Danio rerio: one gene and its partners. The protein of the gene in region 1 interacts with the protein of each later gene in a biochemical or structural test. Links are inferred from orthologs where the notes say so. Each region holds a gene or a part of one and is shown in the gene's direction. Other genes may lie near its edges.

Region 1 (4,113 bases):
TCTAACTTCTTTCTAGTTTGACTTAATAACTATTCTTTATTTTGTTTAATATTGGGATTCAATTAAAAACGTTCAATTTAAAATAACAGTTCCTCATTTTAGTCTTTAGTCCTCTGTGTTATAAGCAGTTATAATGTAATATCAGTCATTCAATAATGGGACTTATTATGAGTGTTTTAAAAGTTTTCATGCTTTTTTGCGGAAATTTTACATTTTACTTTTCAGAATTTTTGGTTGAGTACACTGTAAAAAAATCTTTGTTGCCTTAAAATTTTTAGCTGAATCAATTTAACCTTATGGGTACATTGAACTGATATTATGTTAAACTGACTTAAAACGGCTTGTGAAACGTATAAAATAAAGTAAGAACATGATATAAGTTACAATGACCTAAAACATATGCTGTCAGGAATAATTGATTGTATAATTTTTTACAGTGTAAAATTAGTCAAAAAGCATAAATAAACAAAATGCACGATGATACATGCCTTTTTGTATGAATGAATATATATTTTTAATTTTTTTGTTTACTTTTGAGTAGTATATCATTGTTTCCACAAAGATGCAACATAACTGTTTTCATCATTGATAATAATCAGAAATGTTTCAGCATATTAGGATAATTTCTGAAAGATGATGCAACACTGATGCTGAAAATCCAACACAAGGATAAATAAACACTTTATGATTTATTTTATTTTTAAATTGAAATATATAAATTTGGTTTATTTTAATTAAATAAATTATTATTATTAGTATTATTTTTATTATTATTATTATTATTATTATTATTATTATTATTATTAAACATTTTTAATTTCCGTATTTTTCCCAGTACCAAGCATGATGGAATCAGGAAACAATAGCTTCAAATTAAACAATAGCTGCACTTGACGTTCATGTGTCAAAAGCATTGACGTCCTCCCTCAAACACCACGAGAATTCTCTCATGATGACACACCACTTGCTCTTGTAAAGCAACACGTGAGCATCTCTGTAAAAGACTGACAGTTTGAGGATGACATGCCCAGAGGATCTGTGGCGTTTGGGCTTGAGAGAGCGCACTTCTCTCACTAAATCACAGCAGCGCTCCTGTCACTATGGGCTCTTTATAAGCGCCTTACTTCTCATTAGCGATTTGAGACACGAGAATTTTTCCTTTTATTGTCTAAATACTGGCTGCGAATATCGACGTTATCAGCGCTCGGTCGCGCTCGGTGGAGGAAAGCGATCTTCACTCAGCGGAGAGGCGTTGAGCTGATACCCGTAACCCGATGTGAGCGCTTTCACCCCCGGGGTACTTTTTAGGATGCAGAGATCACCTGTGGAGGATGCCAACTGCCTCTCCAGATACTTCTTTTGGTAAGACTCAATTCTTGAGACCTCTTTTGGGACAACATAATTGTTACATCTTCTTAAATTTGTTGGGAGAGCATATTGTGTGGAATCCTGCATTTTTTTAAGTGTAGATGATTTATTTATTGTATACAGCCTAACAAGACTTGAAACAAAATGCTTAATGACAAGGGTGTTTATAGTAGATATTTGCTTTATTATATGTGATATCTAGCTACCTAGACTGCTCATGATACTGTACATATTTTTCTCCAGATTTGCGAAACAGTTTAACCAAACTGCAGGGCAAAAGTCGGAGTTCTGATATGTTTTGCTGTTCTTTATTGAAGTTTAATCAGAATTATCTGACAATTCTGTTTTTCTCTATTTATTTATTTTTTATTTTTTGATAATTAAATTCTTAGATACAAACTCAAGAGTTCCGACATAAAATGTCAAAACTGCACGATATTGCCTATTGAGAAACTCAGAATTAAAGAAAAAAGTAAGAATTCTGACATTATGCCTCAAAATTCTCTGGTTTTTCTTGCAGTTCTGACATTATAATTCAGAATTTTTGCAATGAAATTCTTACTGTTTTTTAAACTTTATTGTGATATCTACTTATTGCATATGACATTCGTAACTTGTTTCAGAATTGCACAATGTAGCCTAAACTTGAAAGTGCTGGAAAAAGCTCTAATATTATATCTCATAATCCTGACTTTTTTGAGATTTTTAATTAGAAAAGTATAAGTGTATATATGGGCGTCATGGTGGCGGAGTGAGTAGCATGATAGCCTCACAGCAAGAAGGTCACTGGTTCAAGCCCTGGCTGGGTCAGTTGGCATTTTCGTGTAGAGTTTGCATGTTCTCCCCGTGTTGGCTTGGGTTTCCTTCAGGTGCTCTGGTCTCCCCCACAAGACCAAAGACATGCACTAAATGTGAATTGAATAAGCTAAATTGTTCGTTGTGTATGTGTGTGATTGAGAGTGTATGGGTGTTTCCCAGTTTTTGGTTGCGGCTGGAAAGGCATCCGCTGCGTAAAACATGCTGGTTCAGTTGATGGTTCATTCCGCTGTGGCGATTCCCTAATTAATAAAGGGACTAAGCCAAAAAAAAAAAAAAATGAATGAATGAATAAGTATTATAATTCTGTTTTTCTTTTTTGTTAACTAAATTGTGAAATATTAATTAAGTTGTGAGAAAAATGTCAGAACTGCAATATACTGCTTAGATTTGGAAATTCAAATAAACAATAAACTCTGAAATAAAGAGAAGAGTTTTAATTTCTGAGATTATACCTCAAAATTCCAAATTGTTCATCTTCCTTGATTGTAATATTTCTTCCTCAAGATTCTGTGTTTACATCTCAAAATTGAGACTTTTTTCTTGCAATTGTGGCTATTTTGATTGTACATGATTACATTCATAAAAAGGTTTCAGAATGGTATGTCTGACAATTTTCAAACATACCTTCTTGATTTTGTTCACCACACTGATCTAAACTCAACTTTAGACTTGGACTTTACTAGAACTATGTGAAGCTGCTTTGACACAATAAAAGCACTATAAAAATAAACATGAAGTAATTGAATTGAAACATTAGTTATTAACTCAAATATTGCTCATATTCAGAAATGTAGATGTACAATAAAGAAAAAAGTTAGAATTCTGAGATTATATCTGAAAATTCTGACTTTATCTCCCACAATTCTGATAATTTTTCTCAAGATTCAATAAGTCAGAATGGTGTACAGTTTGACCATTTATCATTTTAAATTGCAAGATAAAAATTCATAAATCAGAAAAGTCAGAATTCGAGATATAAGATGTAAACTCACACTTTTTTAGAAGAAGTAGGTAGTGCTGTTCACAGTAAGAAGATCGCTGGTTCGAGCCTCGGCTGGGTCAGTTGACGTTTGTGTGTGGAGTTTGCATGTTCTCCCTGTTTTCGCCTGGGTTTCCTCCGGGTGTTCCGACTTCCCCAACAGTCCAAAGACACGCGGTACGGGTGAATTGGGTAGGCTAAATTGTCCGTAGTGTATGTGTGTGTGAATAAGTGTGCATGTGTTTCCCAGTGATGGGTTGCAGCTGGAAGGCCATCTGCTGCATAAAACATATGCTGGATAAGTAGGCGGTTCATTCTGCTGTGGTGACCCCAGATTAATGAAGGGACTAAGCCGAAAAGAAAATGAATAAATGAAGTCAAAATTGTAAGTAAAATGCCGCAATTAAAAGTTTTACATTTTCATGGTTGAAATAGGTTTTCATAATTTTTATATTAACATATTTCAACAGTTTTTATCAATCTTTTTTCAACCTCAAAAGTTACATTACAGTTATTGCAACAAGAATATCACAGATTGAAAAACAGAAATTGGGTTGCCTCGAGGAGATAATCACGGCAACAATACACTGCCACTTCTCTTTGAGATCAGTATTCAATTATGTTTAAAGGCATCGTTACTTAGATTTGCATAACACAAAGACCACAAAAATCACTAAAAGTTGCATAACACAATAACCACAATAATAAAAGAAAGCTGCATAACACCATGACCACAAAAATCACAAAAAGTTGTTTGAGTTGCATTAAAGTACAATGTTTGTGTGAGAACAACAAGGTTATTTGAATTGTCTAAGGACCAGTCGTGACTCTAGAATGTTTCTGTGCTGAAACCAACAATAATCATGAAAATAACTACACTTAACTGTCCTCATAGTAAATAAATATTGTACATCTGCTCTGAATATTTACAGGTGGACAAACCCTAT
Region 2 (3,518 bases), on another chromosome or scaffold:
CTGTCACTGGGTCACTGACAGAGACAGAAACATCAAGTGTTGTCTAGTATTAAAAACATACTTCTTATTTATTATTATCATTCAGATCGTGAAATATGTGAATTTTGTGATTTGTAATTCGTGAAATGTGATTTTAAGACATTGATTTTAACATATAAAGCGGTTCATGGTTCGGCTCCAGTCTACGCTCTGCCTTGAGTCTTACGCTGTTTCAGCCTCGCTGCAAACTCAGCACCATGGGAGGTAGGCCATTCTCTTTCCGTGCTCCCAAACTGTGGAATGCTCTTCCCACTAACATTAGGAGTGCCGGATCATTTGATGCTTTTAAAAAGCTACTTAAAACTCATCTTTTTAGGTCTGTTTTTAATTTGTGATATCTTTTATTCTTACTGTGTTTTTTTATTGCATTTTTTTAATTGTTTACTTGCTTTGTTGTTTTTACTTTCTTGTAAGCGCTTTGGGTTTTAGAAAAGCATGTTATAAATAAAATGTATTATTATTATTATTATTATTATTATTATTATTATTATTATTATTATTATTATAACTATTATTATTATTATTATTATTATTATTATTATTATTATTATTATTATTATTATTAATAATTAGCCTGTAAGTTTAAAAATATATATTTATAAATGTGTCATTTAATTAGAAAAGTGGCAGTTTACTTATTTAATACATGGAAACAAAAAATGAATATAGAAGGGTTTTTTTACTACAGTAAACAGGGGGGTTGAGCCTATTTGGCATATTCAGAACTCAAATGGTTACTGTATGTCTGTCTATGTAATACAGTGGAGTACTAGCATACAAAAACACATTTCTACTCATTTATTCATTTTCTTTTGAGCTTTGTCCCATTATTAATCTGGGGACAGTGGAATGAACCGCCAACTTATCCAGCATATGTTTTACGCAGTGGATGCCCTTCCAGCTGAAACCCATCACTGGGAAACACATTTCTACTTTAAAGAGGAAAAAAAAATACAAAAGAAAAATACCAAACAAGTTCATAACATAGTTGATCAAGAGTGCCTTTCAGACAGAGGTTCAGCAGCATTTGTTCTTTTTAAAAGGGAAATACTTAGCTAATATGATGCTTAGATTTACATTAGACAAATACAGTTTTTGTAAACGTATTGTTATTTATTTATTATAAATAAATAAATAAATGTATTTATAAATTTATTTATTTATGTATTTATTTATTTTTTATTAATTAATATTTATTAAATTTATTTATTTATTTATTTATGTATTTATTTATTTATTTATTTATTTATTTATTTATTTATTTATGTATTTGTACATAACATTAATTAATAAATTAATTTATTAATACATTTATGTATTTATTTATTTTTAATTAATTAATTAATTATTAAATTTATTTATTATGCATGTATGTATGTTTGTATTTATTTATTAATTAATTAATTTATTTATTTATTCATTCATTTATTAATTCATTGTTCTGTCATTTGTTTTCAGTGTAAAATTATTACTTATTACTAGGGCCAGACAGAATCTGCGGACGTTTTTTGCTATTTCTGCGGAGAATTTTGGTAAAAATCTGCAGATTTCTGCGGAATTATTTTGGGAGTATCCAGCGGAGTATCATAACTAAAGCCTTAATATATGAAATAAAAAGTAATAATTTACTGAACAAAAACTGAATAAATGTAGATTTACACATTTACTCAAGTAAATAAACTGAATTAATGATGGGCTAGAAATCTGCGGAAAATCTGCGGAATTCTGCACGCGCAGATTCTGTGTGGGGCTACTTATTACTTACAACTAGTAGTGTTTTGAAATTAATGAATGTATAATCTAGACAACTGTGATTATTCCTCAGACTATACATGTACAATCAAAAACTGTAATCGTTGCATCCCTATAATACACTTTAGTATGGTTCAAAAACACTTTACTATTAAATAATATAGTATTTCTTAATGTGGGGACCCATAAGCAGTTTTTCTAAATGTGCATTTCTCTTGTCTTCAGGTGGTGCAGCGGATTAAAGCTGTGGAACATGAGACCAGACTGCTGGTGGTTGACAGAGAGACTGATGAGTATTTCCGCAGTCTTCGTCTCACCTGCACTGAGGAAATGGCCATCCGGACGAGCCCCACAGCCACGACCCCTTCACCCTCACCCTCCACCAGTAAACAGGGCAATGGATCAGTGTCCAAACGGAGCGAGATCTCCAAACCCATCAGGAAACCTCCGTCACGAGCTCTCAAGAAGGTGCGGAATCCTCTACATACACTCTTAGAAAAATGATAAAGATTCTATTTTAGAATCCATGTTCCAAATCTGTCATTCCATTTCCATTCTTTGGAGTTTTAAAAATGTTCTTTACAGAATGTACTTTTCGCTGAAAGTTCTTTGGACAACCAAGGATGGTTCTTCTATGACTATAGCTATGTTTTTATCCACCTTATTTTTATGCACATCAGTTAAGGTTAAGGTTAGGGCTGGGGTTAGGACATACATTTTGAAAATACGCTCAAAACACTAATGCTCTTTAATGAGTAGGAAACTTTTTACTCAATATAAATAAAATAGCAAGTCATTTATTCTATAAGGAAAAAAGTCTTCAGTGGCTTCTAATATATCACAGCAAATTCCGTTTTTCTTTTTGATATTTACCGCCACTTTATCAGGTAATTATGATTTAGTTCACTTTGAGTCACTGGATGTAAACGGTGTTAAATTTGCAAATGATTTACTTGATGTTCCAGTTTGGGCACAAGTTTAATTCACATCTTTAGATGGAAACATAGCTAATGTTATGTAAACATGCTTTTGGAACATCATTAAAGTGGTCTGTTTTGCCGTCGTCTGATATTAGCTTTCAAGTAGTGTGCAATGTAGCTGTTTTTCTATATGAAGAAGCAATTCTGAACTGCTGAAATGAGTCCTCAGCAACACACATATGTAGATTTTTATAGTTTTGCATAAAGCCAGTCGTCATAAAGTTGGTGAATGTCCCTTAAACTCTGCAGCTGTAGATGATGTCTGGAAGAGTTTAGTTTGTCTTGTGTTGAGAAGGATGCTGTTTTCTGTGCCTGCATCACATCTAAATGATAGGAATTTGGTTTGGTTGATATGGTAAAACCAACACCATCATTACTGTTTGTAAAACTGTTTGTAAAACTTTATTCATGCCAAAATTAAAAGTCTTTTGAAGCAGTGGTTCCCAACCTGTTTTTGCCTGAGACCCCCTTTTCCCCCCTGAAAATATTGTAAGCCCCTCTCCACATTTAATGATATAATCGCTCATATAAGTTTGCAGTAATGATGATAAAAATGTTGTTTTCAAACAAATGGTATGTTTATTACTATATGTAGATATTTTTATGCATTAAGATAAGCCTAATGTTTTCCCAGTGAAGGGTTGCAGCTGGAAGGGCATCCGCTGCGTAAAACATGTGCTGGATAAGTTGGCGGTTCATTCCGCTGTGGCGACCCCGAATTAATAAAGGAACTGAGCCAAAAAGAAA
Region 3 (3,518 bases), on another chromosome or scaffold:
GGGGCAATTCATTCATAGCTTAACATTAAAACTGCTGTCATAACATTATTTATTAATTTGTGGAACTTTTTGGACTCTGAAATTTAAAAATGTACAACTGAAAATACGGTAGAACCATTTTTATTGTTTACATCCCTCAGTCTATTGATGTAAACATACAACCAAGTTTGCTGTAGTCTTAATCTCAGGTGATGACTGAAATAAAGTTGATAATCTTCAATCTCATTTGTAGCTTTTAAATCTCATTGTGCATGCCCAGAAGATGCATTAGTATTAACCTTTATTTTAGATCACAATAATCACAATTTTTTCATAGAAATTTAGAATTTTATTCAAATGAATGTCTGAACTTTCTACTCATCTAACAAATTTAGTGTAATTTATATGATTTTTCTTAGATTTCAACAAATGCTCTGTACTAAAAAGCTCTGTAAATGTGAATTAAAATAAAAAAAATAAATATTGAATGTATTGAAATTGTTGAACTGAATTTTAGTTTGACTGAAATTATAATAAAAATGAAGTAAAAATAGAGAAAAGGAGCATGAGAAATGTCTCCGAGGTTGATTTTGGTGACAGGTTTGAATAGGCTGAGTGTGAATGTTTTTTTCTCTGTGTGCTGCATTGGAAGAGAGCGATAAATGAAGCCTCCATGCTGCAGTGGAGATTGATGACAGTCAGACACCATATCAAATCACCCATCAGGCCTGTAACTTTGCATAAGCAGCCAAAACACATGCACACAGTCCTCATAGTCTGAGAGAAAACCCAAACACTACTAATGGCGTTACCCCCCAAAAAACTCTCTTTTTGTTCTCTTTTTTTATTTAAATAACCACATACCACATATTTACAATCAATTCTTCCTCTCTATTAAATAACAATCTTTGTTTTTTCTAGTGTTTGATCAACTAGATCTTGTCACATATGAGGAGGTAGTGAAGTTGCCGGCGTTCAAGAGGAAAACATTAGTTTTACTAGGTGAGTATGTTGATCAGAGTTCTTAATCATTGCTTGTTGTCATAAAGCACACGTCTCTTACATTCATGGTTTGTTGCTGACCGGCAGGTGCTCACGGTGTTGGCCGAAGACACATCAAGAACACACTCATCACCAAACACCCAGACAGATTTGCTTATCCCATTCCACGTAAGCAGCTTTCTCAAAATCTTTATTATTGTGCACCAGTCCTGATCAGTGGGTAAACACAAACTTATTTCTGCTCCAAAAGACACAACCAGACCTCCAAAGAAAGATGAAGAGAACGGCAAGAATTATTTCTTTGTTTCACATGACCAAATGATGCAGGACATCTCCAACAACGATTACCTGGAGTACGGCAGCCACGAGGACGCGATGTACGGCACACGGCTGGAGACGATACGCAAAATCCATGAGCAGGGACTCATAGCCATACTGGACGTAGAGCCACAGGTGAACGTTTAGAGATTTTTAATGAGAGAAGTTGCTCATACAGTAACCTTGTTGATCATTTTAGCTATGCAATACCATTAATGGATTTCCAGAAATATGCTTTGGTTTTTGGTGTTTATTTCAAAGACCTAGATTTTGTGATCAGCAACACAAAGGCGCTATGGGGTTTTCAGCACAGCACAGCAACACTCTTTATGCTGGCTTAAGAATGTAATGCATTCCTTAGTCTTGTGTTGTTTGATTCTCTTCAGGCACTGAAGGTTTTACGGACAGCTGAATTTGCTCCCTATGTGGTTTTCATAGCTGCACCAACTATCACTCCTGGCATGAATGAGGTGAGATCAGAATCCAAAATACATGGACTTCTCAAAAGGCCACGGCATGAGTCACTTCACTGGCAGAATAACTCCATCTAACTTCTTTCCTTCTTTGTCTTCAGCTGATCTGTTTTCTGTTTTGCATGCATCGTGTTTTAGCATGTATTTTAATTTCTTCTACCTTTCCCTACATCTCGCTCAGCTTCCCAGATGGTGCAGGAAGCTGCCTGTGAGTATGAGGCTGTCAGCTTAGATCCCAAAATACCTCCATTCATGACCTCTGTAGCTAAGGTCAAACGGACAGTTGGCTGTTTTTAAGAAAACCCTGTTCCATTACCTGTCGGAGCTGTACTACTGTTCAAAAGTTTAGTTTTATAAAAGAAGTTATTACTTTTATTTAGCAAATATGCATTGCATTGATCACATTTAACAGCAAAAACATTTATAATGTTACAAAAATAAATAGTTTTATAATGCTTCATAAAATGTAAAGTGTTTTTAAATGTTATTAGAATGATTTCTGTAGGATTGTGGGACACTAAAAACTTGGAGTAATGATGCAGACTATTCAGCTTTGTTATCACAGAAATAAAGTCAACTTAAAAAAAAAATCGAAGACTGTTTTACATTTTAAATTGCTAAATAAATTCACAGTATTTTCATGTATTTTTGATCGAATAAATCCAGACCCTATGAGCGTAAGCGATATTGCTTAAAAACATTATTAAATTTTATTGTCCCCAAACTTTTGAACAGTAGTGTATATATAAACAAGTTCCATCATTCCCTACTGCCTAATGCCCTGTTTATAGATCTTCATGTACTTTAGGGATCAAAAGGGTTGAATGTAAAGTTGTACATGTGGAATTCTCAAACCCTTGTTATTAGCAATGGGTGTTAAGTCTACTGCAGTTTTTAAGAGATAGTTCACCCGAATGTTCTCTCATTAATTACTCATCCTCATAATGTTCCATACACCTCAGACTTTTTTTTTCATCCTCAGAACACAACTGAATGCATTTCAATTCAAATTGAATGGTTTTCTGCCTCTACAACTTCACTTTTAAGGCCCAGAAGGATACAGTAATAAGAGCATCACTGAGTCAGGCCCTGATTACACTATGTTTTAGTTTTAAAACAATCGGCGTCCACACTGGCTTTTCACTTAGTGTTTCTGAAAAGATCTCTGTCCACACTACATTGCGAAAAACGCACATCACGGGACCACACACACTCTGGTATGCACTGCAGCCTATGCAGACGTCTGAGCTCTAGGCAGTCAGCGGGTGCTTTGAGCACACCTCCCACATTGTGTTTGTTTTATTTCAGATCATTCATCATTTTTATTTTTATTTAGAACTGTAATGCACTCCAGAATCTGACAGATTTATTAGCTGTAGGCTCTAGAACAATCATCTGAAGTGTTGTCATACAGTGTTATGCCTGGATTTCATCTGTATTTTGCAGCCTTGCATTTACTAACGCAGACTGATAAGTGTTTGGATGTAATTTGCGTTTTCCTCTTGTTAAAAAACGTCATAAGAACAATGTTTAGTGGCACAATGTGTTACAATAGTGTTTTTAAAAGTCTAAACACTTTATTGATAAAGTCTATAACCAAGCACATGTGGTCAGAACACAAACGAGTCGCAGGTAATGAAATATTAACCGTGTCTGTAGCTCCGCCTCTTCGCCCTTATTTGTTATGCCCTCGTTGGTGCGATGAATTGCGAACAAAATGGCGACGGTTGGCCACGCCTACTGGTA
Region 4 (3,518 bases), on another chromosome or scaffold:
TGTAATCACATTTTTACAATACACTCAGAAGTTCACATTTTATATAGAGTGTCATAATGTTTGACTTTATAGCCAATCATAAGTCGGCCTGGAGGTCCCCAGTACTGGGTCGCAGCTGGATGGGTAAGGTACACATTTGTACTTGAAGGGTCCATATTGGTCCCTCAAAAGTATATATTATAGGTACTAATATGTACCCTTGAGGTATTAATATGGATCTTTCAAAAAAGGTACCACCCCAGGGACAGCTCACGTATCTTTACTTCTGAGTGTATAAACTGCCAAAAGGTATAAAAAAAAAATAAATTAATAAAAATCTGAGGAACAAAAGATGTTTGTGTTGGACCATACTGATTCAGGATTCAGGATTTCCAAGGCATTAATATCTTAATTAATACCTGTCATACATAATTCTTACCACTAATTCAATTCAGTTTCCTGCTTGGTAAGTCTTTAATCTCTATATGGTTTAGACAGCATAAATGGGCAGAATGATGTGTAGTACAATAACCGTGCAATGATAATGTTTACATTCGAGTATCGCCACCATGGCTGCAGGTACGATTAAATCACCAAATCTTGACATAAGTGTAAGTGACAAAAATGTTAATTCACAGTGTCCTTATTACTGTGTACCTGTTATACCATTACAAATATACATTCAGTCATTTTCTTTTCAGCTTAGTCCCTTTATTAATCTGGGGTCGCCACAACATAATGAACCACTAACTTTTCCAGCATATGATATTACGCAGCGGATGCTCTTCCAGCCGCAACTCAGCACTGGGAAATACCAATACATTTTTGCATTCACTCATTTGCTCCACAGCCAAGCTTATTCAATTCACCTACCACTTGTCTTTGGACTGTGGGGGGAAACCGGAGCACCCGGAGGACACCTACACAGGCACGGGGAGAACATGAAAACTCCACAGAACTGACTTTTTTTTTTTTTTTTTTTTAAATAGAGGAGTTCTGCTATTAACAACGCACTGTATAACCTACACCTTCATTTACCTTTAAAAAACACCTAAAAAAATGATATATATATTTTAGGATAATGTTATCTGAGAACCTCATGACCCCAGAGCTATACATGCCATATATACAGATTATTAAACATTTAAAGCAATGTATTTGCTACTTTTGTACCAGTTGAGTGAAAGCCTTGGGTAAAATCCCCCTTTTTTTCAGATGCACTCAAAATAATGAACACATGCTCTCATTGACTGCTTGATTCATCGTGACTACTTTCATTTCAATTCAGCAACTTATTTTTTAAAAGCTAATTAATAAAAAAAATAACTTAAATATTTCTACTTATTTTTTGAAAGTAATGCATTGATTTACTTGTTAACTCGCGCTACTTGTAATTCATTACCCCCAACACTCTTTACTAGTGTGTGTATATTGAGCTGTGTGTTGTTTTCAGGTGGTGCTGAAGGTGCAGGCGTCTGGATTAAAGCTCTATCTGTTAGTTCTGAGTGCTCAAGATTATGAGTTTGCAGTTTCAGAGGGAAGAGACCTTTTGTCCGTTGCCAGATCTTATCGTCCTGAGGGCTGCTCTCGCCCGCGGTTATGCCACATCACTAAAGAGCCTGGCTGTGGTTTGGGCCTCAGCATCATTCCCATTGAAGGTACTGCTTCTGTCGCTCACTTTTTTGACTTGCTAATATTTTTAAGCAATTGTGAAATAAGTTAAAGCACTGGAATAAGGGACTAAGCCAAAGAAAAATCAATAAATGAATGAATAATTCATATATATATATATATATATATATATACAGTTGAAGTCAGAATTATTAGCCCCCTTTTAATTTTTTTTTTCTTTTTTAAATACTTCCCAAATGATGTTTAAAAGAGCAGAGAAATTTTCACAGTATGTCTGATAATATTTTTTCTTCTGGAGAAAGTCTTATTTGTTTTGTTTCGACTGGAAAAGAAGCAGTTATATATTTTTTTAAAAACCATTTTTGTGACAAAATTATTAGCCCCTTTAAGCAAATTTTTTCCAATAATCTACAGAACAAACCATCATCATACAACAACTTGCCTAATTACCCTAACCTGCCTAGTTAACCTAATTAACCTAGTTAAGCCTTTAAATGTCACTTTTGTCACTAAAATATTATTTACTGACATCATGACAAAGAGAAAATAAATCAGTTTTTAGAAATAAGTTTTTAAAACTATTATGCTTAGAAATGTGCTGAAACAATCTTCCCTCCATTAAACAGTAATTGGGAAAAAAAACAAAAAAACGGGCGTTAATAATTCAGGGCGGCTAATAATTCTGACTTCAACAGTATATATATATATATATATATATATATATATATATATATATATATATATATATATATATATATATATATACAGTTGAAGTCAGAATTATTGAAATTGGGGGGAAAAAATAAACAGGGGTGCTAATAATTCAGGGGGGCTAATAATTCTGACTTCAACTCTATATGAATGATTTTGGTGAGCTCTTGTTTATTTAATGGAATATGTGTGATCAGGAGCGCGAGGCCGATATCGCCTGAACCCAGTGACTGATGGTCCAGCGGAAAGAGCAGGCATCCAGAATGGAGACAGGCTCATCTGGATCAATGGAGTCTCGATTTCTGTCATCTCATATGCAGCACTGGCCAAAATGGTAAGCGTGCTCCTAATAAATATCTTTTATGGTATTTTATCGGCACATTTGTATTGCCACAAGCATATCAAAACTGTTTTGAGTTCATTGTGTTTAGTTTTTGATTATTTTCTCTTTGCATTCCCAATAGTACAGTAATTTACATCTGTGTTCATTGGTTTGAAAAGACTATTGTTTAGAGTTTTTGGAGGTTACTCATGATGTGTTGATAGTTAGTTGTATATTCTAATAAGCTGTTATTATAATAAGTCTTACAATAATTGGTGTAACAATTCAGTTTTACAGTTCATTACAAACAGTTTAACGGAAGTTACTATTAAAATTCACACTAAGCATTATGGGGTGTAGGAAAAAGGGGTCTGTTATCTACCAGAATTGCTAGAGTTTTCCTTTTTTTTCTCACTAGGTGAAGAAATGTGAAAAGCATCTGACCGTCTTGGTAATTGACAGCAGGAGTGAAGAGATTTATAATCGCATGGGATTACCCATAATTCCTGCTTTTGCCGAAACCCATAATCTGCCCTACAGACCAAAAACACTCCACCTGACTCAAGGACCACAGGGATACGGCTTCCTCTTAAGGCAAGAGAAGTTACGATCAGGACGCATTGGTGAGAGGTTTACTAAAACTTTGGTTATAACTAAAATACAATTTAGTATTTTTATAACGTCATCATTTTAAAAATGTTTACAAAAAATTAGAAAAAAACAATTTATTTAGTATTTATATGTTTACTATCTGTGATATATTCATATATTTAATGTGCATTTTTTATGTGTATTTCTAAATACACTCATCGGCCACTTTATTAGGTACACCTGTCCAACTGCTTGTTAACGCAAATTTTTAATGAGCTAATCA
Region 5 (4,023 bases), on another chromosome or scaffold:
TGCAGCTATTTTGGGGGGACTTTAAAATATCTCTAAACAAAAACTGAATACAAAATTCACATTTTTACAGAAGAATTAGAGACATTTGACTTATTTTTATAATAAAGTCTATGACTAAATTATGTAATTACATGAAAAAAAAATTTAAAGAAGAAATGACGGCATTCTTCATAAATGTTAATTAAAATGAGCAATTATGGCTTACTCTGAGTTATTTAAAGGTCAAAATTATAAATAGGGTATTAAAAAAAAGAAATGTTATACCTAAATCAAAATTAGAAGTGATAAGAAAGCACATTATCTTGAACATTTTTAAAGTTTTAAAATTAATAATCACAAAAAAACTAAAATGTAGAGTAAAAATGATGATAACACTAATGAATTATATATTATCATCATAATTATTCACATTTTGATTCATGTATTTTTTCTACTTGTCTTACTTGTCGACTGTTCATGTTGTCCTCATTTAAGTGCATTATATGGTTTATGAACTGAAATGGTGTTTGGTGACTCTTTTACTGTTCTTTAATGTTAATATATTATTTTTCTGAATGTGTTTGGTGTTCAGCAAGAAATTATATTGCAATCTGAATTTGAGTATGTTTATTATTAAATTATTCACATCATTTTAGCAAACTCATTGTTTTGCACCTAAAATATGATGCAGCTTTTTAGGGTGACTCTAAAATGTCTCTAAACAAAAATTAAATACAAAATGCACATTTTTACAGGAGAATTAAAGACATTTGATGTATTTTTATATTAAATTATATAGCTAAATTCTATAACTACATGAAAAAAAATATTTAAAGAAGAAATTAAGACTTTTTTTGTAATTCTTAATAAAAAATGAGCAATTATGGCTTACTCTGTTACTTAAAGGTCAAAATTATAAATAAGGTATTAAAGTCATAAGAATTAAAAGTCATTAGAAAGCTCAAAATTATATGCTGAAGTAGAAATTAAGTCAGTTATTTATATTTTTATTACATGCTTTTCTAGAACACTTTTTAAAATGTGTAACCGGAAAAAAACGTGTAAAATGTAGAATAAATAATGATAATAATCAAGCATTATTATTATAACTGTTTTCATATTTATTTATATATTTTATCTAATTATTATTATTATGAAATTAAACTCCTGCACGTCGCCGACAGGTGGCGTTATTACGTTGGCAACGAGCTTCCGATCGTCACCTCCGGCGACGTCACAGTGACGGCAGAGTCAAAACAACCGAAACATGATGCTAGCGTCTCACACCCGCGGGTAAAATGTCGTGTTTTTGAGGATCGCCGATGAAAACGTCGGACATTTGTCATCTTAATGTCATGATCGAGTCGGAATATGAGTTTGGCCGCGTTTCATTCGCTATCAGGGATCCAAAAGTGATCATCAAAGCACCAGTGTCGCTACCGGTTTGCTAACGACAGGCGTCAGTCCAGCAGTCAAACCCGGTACGCCTCAAATAATCCATATTTCATATTCAAACCATCTGATTTAATCTCTAAGCGTGTTTATTCTCAGCGCTGACCTGGTTGTTAGCTTGTAAAGTGTGTGTGAATGTGCTTATGTGTCAGGCACAGGAGTTTAATTTCTGATCGACGTGAAATTACATTTACTCGTTGGTAGTGCTTAATTTTAGTGATTAACTGTTGGATTGTGTGTGTTTTAAGTTCACAGAGCTGCATAAAGAGTCATGAATGATTTCACACAACTGTCAGTGTCCAGATGTGTGTTACTGTTGTCCAGATGTGTGTGTGTGTGTGTGTGATGTACATTAAACAATTCATTTTAATCATTTCTACTATATGAACAGCAGCTCTACAAAAGGTGCACGTTAATACATTTCAATCAAAATCAGAAAAATGTAGAGTATACACTCACCGACAGGAGCTTAATGCATTTAGGCATGTAGACATGGTCAAGACGATCTGCTGCAGGTCAAACCGAGCATCAGAATGAGGAAGTAAGGGGATTTGAGTGACTTTGAACGTGGCATGGATGTTGATAACAGACATGCTGGTCTAAGTATTTCAGAAACTGCTGATCTACTGGGATTTTCACGCACAACCATTTCTAGGGTTTACAGAGAATTCTCCGACAAAGTGGAAATATCCAGTGAGCGGCAGTTCTGTGAGCACAAATGCCTTGTTGATGCCAGAGGTCAGAGGAGAATGGCCAGACTGGTTCCAGCTGATAGAAAGGCAACAGAAACTCAAATAAGCACTCGTTACAACCAAGGTCTGCAGAAGAGCATCTCTGAACACACAACACGTCCAACCTTGAGGCGGATGGGCTACAGCAGCAGAAGAGCACACCGGGTGCCGCTCCTGTCAGCTAAGAACAGGAAACTGAGGCTACAATTCACACAGACTCACCAAAACTGGACAATAGAAGATTGGAGAAACGTTGCCTGCTCTGATGAGTCTCCATTTCTGCTGACACATTCAGATGCTCGGGTCAGAATTTGACGTCAACAGCATAAAAGCATGAATCCATCCTTCCTTGTGTCAGCGGTTTAAGCTGGTGGTGGTGGTGTATTGGTGTGGGGGAGATTTTTTTAGCACACTTTGGGTCCATTAGTACCAATTGAGGGTCGTGCAAGTTTTTGCAAGATACTTGTATTCAGCATTTAAAGGCTTAATTATGTTAACTAGGCAAGTCATTGTATAATGATGGTTTGTTCTGTAGCTAATTGAAAAATATCTTGATTTCTGTAGCGCTTTTACAATGCAGATTGTGTTAAAGCAGCTTAACATAGAAGATTATAGTGATATAGTGATAGTGTAAACTGTCAGTCCAGTTTTCAGAGTTGGAGTTCAGTTTAGATTAGTTCAGTGTGGTTTAATATTCAATACTGAGAGTTCAAACACTGAAGAGCAAATCCATCGATGCGCAGCTCCACAATTCCCAAACCAAGCAAGCCAGTGGCAACAGCGAAGGAACAATCTTCACCAATTGACGTGATTGAAGTGAAGGAAAAAACCTGGAGAGAAACCGGCTCTGTTGGGCACGACCATTTCTCCTCTGACCAAACTGCAGAAAAGCAGTCTAGGCGCCGGAGGCTGGAGAACGCTGGATGTCCATCGTGGAGAAGATGCAAGTGTGAGTAGGTCACCGGCGTGTGTTCAGGCTGGCCCACTTGATAAATGTGAGGACTTGTTTGTCACTGGGGTGATTCAGGCATCAGTCTTATGCTCTCAGCTCCTCCATGACAACCACAATATCTGCCAGGCCCGGATTGGCGAACCGAGAGAATTCCTGGTGGGTCGGTCCGTTTTTTGGCCGTGAGGGCCAGTGTCCCTAGCTGCTTGCACTCTCAGCAGTCACACTTTTTTCATTTATTTATTTATTAATTTGACCATAGCCTCACTCTTTTTTTTTGTTTTTCATTATTTTGCCGCAGCGCCGCTCTTTTTATTTATTTTTTTTCTTGCTGCTCCGTGAGCAAAATGCAGCCTGCAGGTTTACTAACGTTAATGATGATGTAACTAATCATTCGACCCCAAACAGTGGCACCTTAGTGATTATAAGAATTTGAATAATTAATATTAATGAATAATACACCTGCTCAATGAAAATCAGATGATTTACTACATTAAATCTGACAAAACTTGATCAGAAATCTAAAAGGAGAAAATGATTTAGCCATCAAAGTAATACTATGTCTTGCCGTTCACAGTGTAATCTTTATTTTTTATTCCCACTGGAATAGCGCCATTGTGGTCCAGTGGAAAGCACGTTGCGTTGCGAAACTTCCGACCCATGTTCGAATCTCACCTGAAAAATTATTATTATTATTTTTCGTTTTTATGACATAATACTGTAAGGGTTGTTGAACATTTGAATTTCTAAAGCAGCTGTTTTCTCAAAAAAGATGTGATAGTGTCATTAGAAACTGAATTGGAAATGACCTTATTTTAATGTAATCAGTCGAGGTGGGCTGGTCTGGCTTGAAACTCCAGGGCTGAAAATGAGTCCCACTCCGGCCCTGATATCTGCTCAGGATACGGCCTG

Evidence for each region.
Region 2: the proteins of cftr (region 1) and Na(+)/H(+) exchange regulatory cofactor NHE-RF2 form a complex in vitro, tested with the Homo sapiens proteins (4 studies listed by BioGRID and IntAct, with this or other methods). The link is inferred for Danio rerio from reciprocal best matches to the Homo sapiens genes CFTR and NHERF2.
Region 3: the proteins of cftr (region 1) and caska interact in a test that uses a peptide from one of them, tested with the Homo sapiens proteins (2 studies listed by IntAct, with this or other methods). The link is inferred for Danio rerio from reciprocal best matches to the Homo sapiens genes CFTR and CASK.
Region 4: the proteins of cftr (region 1) and nherf4a form a complex in vitro, tested with the Homo sapiens proteins (2 studies listed by BioGRID and IntAct, with this or other methods). The link is inferred for Danio rerio from reciprocal best matches to the Homo sapiens genes CFTR and NHERF4.
Region 5: of the proteins of cftr (region 1) and stub1, one has a biochemical effect on the other in vitro, tested with the Homo sapiens proteins (4 studies listed by BioGRID). The link is inferred for Danio rerio from reciprocal best matches to the Homo sapiens genes CFTR and STUB1.

What each region holds. Positions count from the first base shown.
Region 1 is NC_133193.1:22,064,597-22,068,709, forward strand, and holds the start of cftr (cystic fibrosis transmembrane conductance regulator), read left to right. Parts: upstream 1-1,309; coding exon 1,310-1,362; intron 1,363-4,098; coding exon 4,099-4,113. UniProt on the Homo sapiens protein: Epithelial ion channel that plays an important role in the regulation of epithelial ion and water transport and fluid homeostasis. Mediates the transport of chloride ions across the cell membrane.
Region 2 is NC_133178.1:11,806,910-11,810,427, forward strand, and holds part of Na(+)/H(+) exchange regulatory cofactor NHE-RF2, read left to right. Parts: intron 1-2,016; coding exon 2,017-2,259; intron 2,260-3,518.
Region 3 is NC_133184.1:35,058,376-35,061,893, reverse strand, and holds part of caska (peripheral plasma membrane protein CASK), read left to right. Parts: intron 1-900; coding exon 901-981; intron 982-1,068; coding exon 1,069-1,149; intron 1,150-1,231; coding exon 1,232-1,434; intron 1,435-1,685; coding exon 1,686-1,769; intron 1,770-1,953; coding exon of another isoform or gene 1,954-1,980; intron 1,981-3,518. UniProt on the Homo sapiens protein: Multidomain scaffolding Mg(2+)-independent protein kinase that catalyzes the phosphotransfer from ATP to proteins such as NRXN1, and plays a role in synaptic transmembrane protein anchoring and ion channel trafficking.
Region 4 is NC_133190.1:25,927,893-25,931,410, reverse strand, and holds part of nherf4a (Na(+)/H(+) exchange regulatory cofactor NHE-RF4), read left to right. Parts: intron 1-1,432; coding exon 1,433-1,637; intron 1,638-2,519; coding exon 2,520-2,656; intron 2,657-3,062; coding exon 3,063-3,267; intron 3,268-3,518.
Region 5 is NC_133199.1:43,372,100-43,376,122, forward strand, and holds the start of stub1 (E3 ubiquitin-protein ligase CHIP), read left to right. Parts: upstream 1-1,214; 5' UTR 1,215-1,460; intron 1,461-4,023. UniProt on the Homo sapiens protein: E3 ubiquitin-protein ligase which targets misfolded chaperone substrates towards proteasomal degradation.